Linked DNA regions of Saccharomyces cerevisiae S288C. Changing the gene in region 1 together with any one later gene gives a genetic interaction. Each region holds a gene or a part of one and is shown on either strand. Other genes may lie near its edges.

Evidence for each region. A genetic interaction does not mean that the proteins touch.
Region 2: mutations in COQ10 (region 1) and RCK1 together harm fitness more than expected from each alone (negative genetic interaction), as found in Saccharomyces cerevisiae (2 studies listed by BioGRID).
Region 3: mutations in COQ10 (region 1) and TIM18 together harm fitness more than expected from each alone (negative genetic interaction), as found in Saccharomyces cerevisiae (2 studies listed by BioGRID).

Annotation. Positions count from the first base shown.
Region 1 is NC_001147.6:308,561-311,520, reverse strand, and holds COQ10 (ubiquinone-binding protein COQ10), read right to left. Parts: upstream 1,210-2,960; coding exon 586-1,209; downstream 1-585. Other genes in the region: CSI2 (Csi2p), read left to right, coding at 1-179; ERMES complex subunit MDM12, read left to right, coding at 1,382-2,197; RCL1 (rRNA-processing endoribonuclease), read right to left, coding at 2,480-2,960. UniProt on the Saccharomyces cerevisiae protein: Required for the function of coenzyme Q in the respiratory chain. May serve as a chaperone or may be involved in the transport of Q6 from its site of synthesis to the catalytic sites of the respiratory complexes.
Region 2 is NC_001139.9:205,422-209,071, reverse strand, and holds RCK1 (putative serine/threonine protein kinase RCK1), read right to left. Parts: upstream 2,040-3,650; coding exon 501-2,039; downstream 1-500. Other genes in the region: carbonyl reductase (NADPH-dependent) ARI1, read right to left, coding at 1-66.
Region 3 is NC_001147.6:874,243-876,931, forward strand, and holds TIM18 (Tim18p), read right to left. Parts: upstream 1,080-2,689; coding exon 501-1,079; downstream 1-500. Other genes in the region: MUM3 (Mum3p), read left to right, coding at 1,357-2,689. UniProt on the Saccharomyces cerevisiae protein: Component of the TIM22 complex, a complex that mediates the import and insertion of multi-pass transmembrane proteins into the mitochondrial inner membrane.

The sequences.
Region 1 (2,960 bases):
CTACCCAAATACTGGGAAAGTTTACAGACAGCACTAATCCATTCAATTATACATCATACAATTTAAGTCCCGACTCTGAAGACCGCTCTACTCCAAAATCAAATGTTAGTCAGGGTAAAGTAAAGAAGTACCGTCCTCCCAGTGTTCATCTGGATCAACTGCTCGACGGTAAGGAATAATTGCGTCCCCACCTTTCTACACCTCATTTACACTAAGTGCGACTCGAAAACCTAATACTTCAATTAATGAGAGGATACGTGTAAATTCCTCGCCATCACCATGCGCTGTTTTTAGTACACCATTCTTTTTTCGCATACAGATACAAGCACTAAACTGATCGTACTTTGCCAATGAATAAAATGGTGCATCTGCGTATCAACTTGTTGATTGCGACGGAAGACCAGGAAATTTTGCAGCAAAATATATTTGTTTGTATCCTCCGCCCCTACTGGAGCTTGTTAGAAAGCTTAAATACTATAAACATAACTATACAGAAAAATCTTGTTCTATAGTCTAAAAATTTAACCATGCATACGCTTATCCTGGATGGCATGATCTTTGTTATCTGAAATTATACGGAAGATATCACGGAGAGCCTTCTTTAGAAGAAGGTTTTAGCATTGCTAATCTTACTAAATGGTATGCTCTTTTGGCAAATGCGTTCATCACCAATTCAGTCACAGTTTTCGCAAATATTAGAGAGACACTGTTATATATCCGAGATTTGAATTTAAATCTTAATAGAAGTTCTACCATGGCCGCATTTGGTCTATTTGGGTGAGGCATTATGGTCCATTTCGAAATCAAAAGGTGAAACAAATTATGAGATATTGTTTCTGCAACAACGGTATACGTATGATCAGTATCTTTACAGGTAACATTGCATATAAATTCCTCATCGTATTGTTTGAAACCAACTCGAAGCCCCGCAATGAGAGGCTTGTTATCCACAGGATTTCGTTTATCTACAAACGAATCAACACAATAAGGAATAAATTCCTTATATTGGGCAACTTCTGACACTGCAGCGTAGACTGTGCTTGGAGGGGCGTTTATGGCCTTGCGCAAAACATATCGCTGTTCCCTAATAGTGTGATTGGTACCGCTCAAACCAAAAAAATTTCTTTTAAGAGGATATCTCCCAATTGGCTTGAGCATCGCTTTCCTGAATAATATCAATGTCTGTGAGGGCCTTATTATCAAAACCATTCTCCACGGTATCTTTAGCCGTTTATTGTTTGGCTCCTTATCCTATTATTCGTTTTAAATAGTTCAGGTTTTTCAGACAACTCGATCTTTAAATTTTTCTCTAACATGAGAAAAAGCATGCCATCCTATGTAACGGTTGAAACAGATCATAAGCTGGCTTCAACTAATCCAAATGTCTTTTGATATTAATTGGAGTACATTGGAATCTGACAATAGACTGAATGATCTTATAAGAAAACATTTAAATTCATATTTACAAAATACGCAACTACCAAGCTACGTAAGTAATCTTAGGGTACTAGATTTTGATCTGGGAAAAGTTGGTCCTGCTATAACACTGAAAGAAATAACAGATCCCCTAGATGAGTTTTATGATTCAATTAGAGAGGAGGCTGATCAAGAGACGGAGGAAAATAATGACAACAAGGAGGACAGCGAACATATTTGTCCTGATCGTACTATAGCTAATCATGAAGGACCTAAAGATGATTTTGAGGCGCCTGTGGTGATGCCATCCCCCAACGATATACAATTTTTACTAGAGGTCGAGTACAAGGGTGACTTACTCGTTACGATTGGTGCCGACCTTGTGCTGAATTATCCCGTAGAAAAATTTATGACTTTGCCAGTAAAACTTTCTATCAGTGATATCGGTCTCCATTCCCTTTGCATTGTTGCATGTTTATCAAAGCAACTATTTCTTAGCTTTCTGTGTGATGTTAGTGATCCTGCACTGGATGACAACCAAACTGTTTTAGATCCTAAGGGGCCAATTCTGGCAGCTACTAAGCCATTGGAGCGAATATCCATTGTGAGAAGTATGAAGATTGAAACCGAAATAGGGGAACAATATCAGGGACAGGGCTCAGTATTAAGAAGTGTTGGAGAACTAGAACAGTTTTTGTTTACGATATTCAAAGATTTTTTAAGAAAGGAGTTAGCATGGCCAAGTTGGATTAATCTGGATTTCAACGATGGTGATGAGTAATTTAACAAAGATAGTTTGAAAATAGTGTCTACATAAAAAAACAAACATTTTTGAGCTGGAAAATTATATTTTGTCATGAAGTAATCTATTCTTAACGCGCTTTTCGCATACGCTCTTTGATGATATTTTAGATGACCCAAAAGAGTTAAAGGAAATCATCAATGATCCTCCAGTAATCTTATACTCTAGACAGTTGTCCGTGAAGTTACACCTAAATAATCATATATATATATATAACTTATATACAGTGGTCTAATATCTATTGAATAATATTAGAACATGCTATGCAATCTTTTTGCTTGTGTTTGTGAAACCAATACCCTTGATAGTAGCTATCATGTCTTCATTATCCGCCTCGTCAACTGGTTTTAAAAAGACTTCAGTATTAAAGATCTTCTTAATATCTCTCAAGAGGATTATGAATCTTTCGTCTATCTGTTCCTTATTAATTCTCAATCTGCCGATATCTTCTTTCCCGATGACCATGTAAACAATTGCTAATGGAAGCTGGTTTCTACCAACTGCTGCACTCTTTGATATTTCTTCTAATAATTGACAGGCAACTTTTTCACCAAGTTCTTCAGGTATAGAACCTGCATCACCGATATCTTCTGCAAAATAACTCCAACCTTTCTGCTTGGACTGAGCAACCAAAGTAATACCCCAGCCTGGACTCTTCCCTGAATTTTCACCTCTCCAGACATCTGCCGTTATGTTAACTTCGCATTGCAGATTTTTCAATACCTTCTTAGCACCATCGATC
Region 2 (3,650 bases), on another chromosome or scaffold:
GTTCATAATGTGTAGAGCAATGAAACCGGTTGCGCCAGAAACGAAAACAGTGGTATCAGTAGTCATAATTATTACTTTTTTAAGTCTGTTTAGCACAGTTGTACAATGCACAATTACTGTTTTTATAAACTATGTAGTAAGATCCATTGAGCTCGAGACATAGTTTTTCTGAATGAGCGGTTCATTTATAGTAATTTGTCTTCATAAAGTTGCATAGAATAAATTCCGGAATTATTCGCAAGTTTTTCCGTGTTTCTAGGATAGGGGTCGGAACCGCGGAAAATCCTATGCTAATTTCGGCCGACATTTTTATAGAGCGAAGCCGATCTTAACAAATTGATGACGTATGCGTTAGGAAACTGTAACTAGAGAGCTGGCGTAAATATTAAACGTATCTTTTTTATTATTTCAATATGAATGCTATTAATTATTAGTATAAAAAGGGGAGACAGTTGATATATTTTCGAATATGCTGGGTGCGTTTTCCACTGGATAAGAGTTTACCAGAAGAATATCTTGTTCTTCCTTCTTCGGTATATAGAAGATGTTGCAAGGTCTAAGGTAAAACACTCTTTTGGCTCACCGATCCAACTGCCCCGTAGGTTTCTGTCTTCTTCCGTCATAAATATGTATTCCGAGCTTTCACTTCTGGAAAACTCGGTGTCATCTTGTTTTTCAGATTGGCAGCTTAATGCACAATGTAGGGTCTCTGCTCTCTCATCGAATGAATCATTTAGTATGCTTTGCACGCTGGCATAAGAATTTGAGTTTGAATCCTTCAAACAATCGTACGAATTTAACCAAGGATCATTTAGGAAGTCATCGATATCGTATCTCTTGTTTGGGTCAACCTCCAAAAGATGGGTAACTGCGTTCTTAGCGCCAGAACTTATGTTGTCCCACCATGGCGCCAAGAATTCGTAATCTCCTCTCGATATTTTCTTCAATAATGTTTTTTCGTTCTTTTCGTAAAACGGAGGATATCCACACAATAACGTGAATAGTACGCAGCCAATACTCCACATATCAACTTTCATGGAATATCGTTTGGAGGTGAATACTTCTGATGCGACGTATTCTATCGTTCCGCAGGGAGTTTTTGCGGTATTGTTCCGAAGTTTCTTGGCTAGTCCGAAGTCCATTAGCTTCACTAAACCAATACCGCCTCCGCCGACACCTAATGTAAACTCGTCTTCTTTTTGCATGTCCCCATCAAGGCCATAAAATGGGATAGGTTCAAATAGTAGGTTTTCTGGTTTGACATCACGATGCACAATACCCATGTAGTGCATATGTTTAATTGCAATTGCTACCTGAGTAATGACATGACGAGCTAAGTCTTCACTAAAGCATGTTAGTTGGACGATCCTATCAAATATTTCCCCACCTGTGACTAACTCCGTCACTAAGTAATAGTAGTTCGCCGATTCCTGGAATGCGATAAATTTTGTACAATGCGGATTATTTTTCGAAACCAGTTTGTGGATGGCAACTTCGTTTAAGACTTTCTTTCTGCTGGAACCTTGGATTCTATCATTCCCTTTTAAGATGGCATCGCTCGAAATGCCTTTCTTTATGATTGCTTTGATGGCAACAGGAGCTTGGTCATCCGTGTTGATGCCTACTGCTTTAAATACTCTGGAAAATGCCCCTTCACCAATTTTATTGAGCAGTTTATAATTGTGCAACTCCAGTTGTTCAGGATACTGGTGATTTGAACTGGAATAATCGGTTGACTTGTTAGAAGTTTCATCTAATTTTAATTCAGTGGAAAAAATGTCACAAAAATATTCGTCTTCTTGAGAGTTGTTTTCCAAGCAGCTCTGTTCACTTTTTTCTGAATCGGACGAGGTAACATTAAAGTCGACTGAAAGAGATGATCTACGGCAACCCGATGCAAAGGAGTGGTGTAAATTTTCTGAGTTACCATTTATCCTGTTAACTTTATTTTTACCATCAGCGGCATTGAAATACGCGGCATCGGGCGTTGTTGGATAAAAATCGATGCCATCGGCTATAAATTCTGGGTTTACTGACATTTTTTTCTCTATGATGACTTATTTTATATGATATGTAGCCTCTGTGCTTGGTGCTGCATGAAATAGATGCTGGTAGTATTGTTTTAGGAAGATTATTTGAGTAATCTTTGCGATGTGTCACTGGAAAAGAGTTAAGTGATGATTTATTTTTTTCAATTGACTTTCAACATGTAGGAAATATCTGGTATGAAGTAGTATGAAGTATTTATACGTCAATGATCCGCGAATATTCGGATAATGACTTCACCCACTCCATATAACTGAAAATCCGACAGGAAACTAAGGGACGCCGAGATGTCAATCTCATGCACTTCACAAACTCTTAATGGGAGTGCATTGTGTGATCATGCAGCTACCATAGGCACCGAAAGCGTGGGGTAGCCCACTTAAAAATCTTCTTCTCGGAAAAAAAAAATGAAATGCCTTGCCGGGAAGGTGCTGATGCAGGAAGAATTTCTTCATGGAAGGGCACTCCTCATCCAAAAGGTTTCTCGAAGAAATATTCTATCATATCCGGAATTTCTTTTTTTTTTCCACTGATTTTTTTCTGCTAGAATTGTTTGCCCCTCTCCGCAGGGCGGGGTCTCTTACATGAAAAAAATCTAGATTCGTCACACACAGGAAAGGAAATCGACTATTTAATTACTTCTATAAAATTTAACTTTCATGCAAGTCCCCTAAAAAAAAAAAACACTACAAGTTTGTAATTCCCTTTTTTTATGTACAAGATTTTAACGTCATTTTTCACAATGTCGCCGTATAAAGGCGATTTTTCTGCATTTTTAAGGTCAACAGGTATCTGGACCTTCCATTGTTTTTCCGCTTCGATTGTCAAGATTGTCAATTTTCGCAATTTTGATTTTTATTTCCGTTGCTGTGACTTTCTTCTTCATACTTGAGCTGCATTGTTCTTTTCTCCGCTCTCATTTTTTTTTTGTTTCCCCTCATTATTTTCTTGCATAGCAAAGTGAGTTGGAACTACAAAGTTTTCACAGTCTGAAATTCCGTGAATTTAAAAATAAAAAATCAATTTTTTCTTACACGTAATTGCAGAAAGAAAGTATACGTAGTCACTAAAAAGCGGTCATATATCAGGAAGTTCTGGTCTCCCGTCTAAAAATAGAACAATGCGTGTTCCAGAAACTTAATTATGGGAGATGTAACAAACTTTATTACATGTTAAGAAAAGCCGAGTTCAAAGTATTAACCGGAAGAACACCAATTTCTTCAATTTTAAAAGCCAGAGCGCCGTACCCGATTTCTTCTCTTAAACGACATGTTCAACCAACATTCTTTTACATGCAGCAAACAGGCAAAAATGAAGGTCTAATTTTTCTCGTCTTTAGTCGGCTTCAAACGCGGGTAGCTTGATCACAGAACCAAAAAGATAAAAAATAATGGTTGCTAAGAGATTCGAACTCTTGCATCTTACGATACCTGAGTATTCCCACAGTTAACTGCGGTCAAGATATTGCTTGAATCAGGCGCCTTAGACCGCTCGGCCAAACAACCACTTATTTGTATGTTTCGGTTCTACTAATATAGGTTGGAATCAGTTAGGTATTATCATCTTAAGCGTACAATTCAAAATGTTCACAGAAGAAACCCTTG
Region 3 (2,689 bases), 570 kb from region 1:
TGCGATAGTTGTATTCTGATTGCCTTATTATTATTTCACTAATTCTTTATTCACGTAGAGCATGACACTTTTTTTATGTGTTTCCTTTTGATTGTGAAATAAAGGCGAATCCTAACAAATATTAAAATGTTTCAATACATTGATAAAAATTGTAAACATTATTTTTTTGTAGTATAAAAATTCGTTCCTCATCATTAAAGAAACAAAAAGCATACAGATAATAATAAAAAAGGCACTTTAGACAGAATGAGAATACTAGCAATCACGAATTCCTACTTTTCCTTTCTGTATCCCTAGGCGTTTCACTCGACAAGAATTGATCGTCTTGTACCAATCCAAGCAGATCGATATATACATATATATCTGGATTTCGAGAAGAAGGATATATTTTATTGCTTATTTGTCTTTTTATAAAATCTCTCCTAAGTTAAGTTCATGGGGAATCTGACTCTAAAAATGAAATCTTAGAAATGCAAAAAAAAAGAAAAAGTATGGGTGAGTCAGTTTCTTCCAAATATATACAAATGGTCATCATTTTCATTCCAAAGTTTCTTTACCAGGTCAACAAAACCATTATTTTTCGTTTCCAATTCGTAGATACCGTACAGGGACAACATGGATCCTCCATAGAGGCAATAAAGGGCGAGCTTATGCCATCTTGGATACTTTTCCTTCGGTATATAGTCAATAATACAACTTGTGAAGCCATACTGTAAATATATCAAAAAAATGGACGATAAAGACGCATCGAGTAAAGGATTTATAACCCCGCCGGTAAAGGAGGCATAAAAAGGTACCATTGTTAATGGAATCAAAGTATATTTTGCTATTCTCTCATAGTCTTTTTGATAAGAGTCCTTAAATTGAGAGAACTCTGGGGGCTTAAACATCTGCACTGAAGAGGATGCCTCTTTTGACGTATTTGCAATATCGTTTATTTTATTTTCAGCATTTAAACGATTAATGCTATAAAAGGATCTTTTGGTTGAAAGTACTAATCCTGGAAAAACAGCTCGTACAGGATTTACAATGACAGTGGAAGCATTAAGAACAGGCTTCAAGCCAGGAAACAATAGCATTACCAAAGGTATTAAATTACTCAGTTGTTGCACCTCGCATCACCGTTAATTAATGTGTGCATTCCACTGTCTGGAAGTTTTCATTTTTATCCGATCTTTTGCGAGAATGGTTTGTTTTTCAAAAAAACCGAGTGTCAACAAGGCATGTAGCGACACAAAATGAAAAATTGAAAGTTAACAGGGCAAGATATGCACCATAATAGATTCATTGTTAATCTTAATCAAATAAAATTTCTCTTTTCCACACAGAAAACTAAACGAAAGGTATAACTTTAAGATGGGTTTTGTTGATTTCTTCGAAACATATATGGTCGGTTCTAGGGTCCAGTTCAAACAGTTAGATATTTCTGATTGGTTGAGTCTGACCCCAAGGTTGCTTATTCTTTTTGGCTATTTTTACCTTCATTCTTTTTTTACTGCAATCAATCAATTCCTACAGTTCATTAACACGAATTCCTTCTGTCTTAGACTGCATTTACTATATGACAGATTTTGGTCGCATGTGCCCATAATAGGTGAGTACAAAATTCGGCTGCTCTCGAGGGCACTGACATATAGTAAACTGAAAATAATACCAACTTTAGACAAGGTGCTGGAGGCGATTGAAATTTGGTTTCAGCTACATTTAGTTGAAATGACCTTCGAAAAAAAAAAAAACGTCCAAATTTTCATAACCGAGGGAAGTGATGACCTAAACTTTTTTAAAGATAGCAAATTCCAAACCACATTAATGATATGTAATCATCGATCAGTGAATGACTACACATTGATTAATTACCTTTTTCTCAAAAGTTGTCCCACCAAGTTTTATACTAAATGGGAATTTCTACAAAAGCTGAGGAAGGGGGAAGATCTAGCTGAATGGCCTCAGTTAAAATTTCTTGGTTGGGGAAAAATGTTTAACTTTCCTCGATTGGATCTACTAAAGAACATATTCTTCAAAGATGAAACACTCGCACTCTCATCGAATGAGTTAAGAGATATTTTAGAAAGACAAAACAATCAAGCTATTACTATTTTTCCCGAAGTCAATATCATGAGTTTGGAACTATCAATTATTCAAAGAAAATTACACCAAGATTTTCCCTTTGTTATAAACTTCTATAATTTATTATACCCAAGATTTAAAAACTTTACCACTTTGATGGCTGCTTTTTCATCAATTAAAAACATCAAAAGAAAGAAAAACCGTAACAATATAATCAAAGAGGCCCGATACCTGTTTCACAGAGAACTTGACAAATTAGTTCACAAGAGCATGAAAATGGAGTCTTCCAAGGTATCCGATAAGACGACGCCGCCCATGATCGTAGATAATTCATACTTACTTACAAAAAAGGAAGAAATCAGCAGCGGCAAGCCCAAGGTGGTACGAATCAATCCATACATATATGATGTCACCATAATTTATTACCGAGTCAAATATACTGATAGTGGGCATGATCATACCAACGGAGATTTGAGACTTCATAAAGGTTATCAATTAGAGCAAATATCTCCGACAATCTTTGAGATGATTCAACCAGAAATGGAGTCTGAAAACAACATAAAGGATAAGGACCCCATTGTTGTGATGGTAAATGTAAAAAAGCATCAAATTCAACCATTAC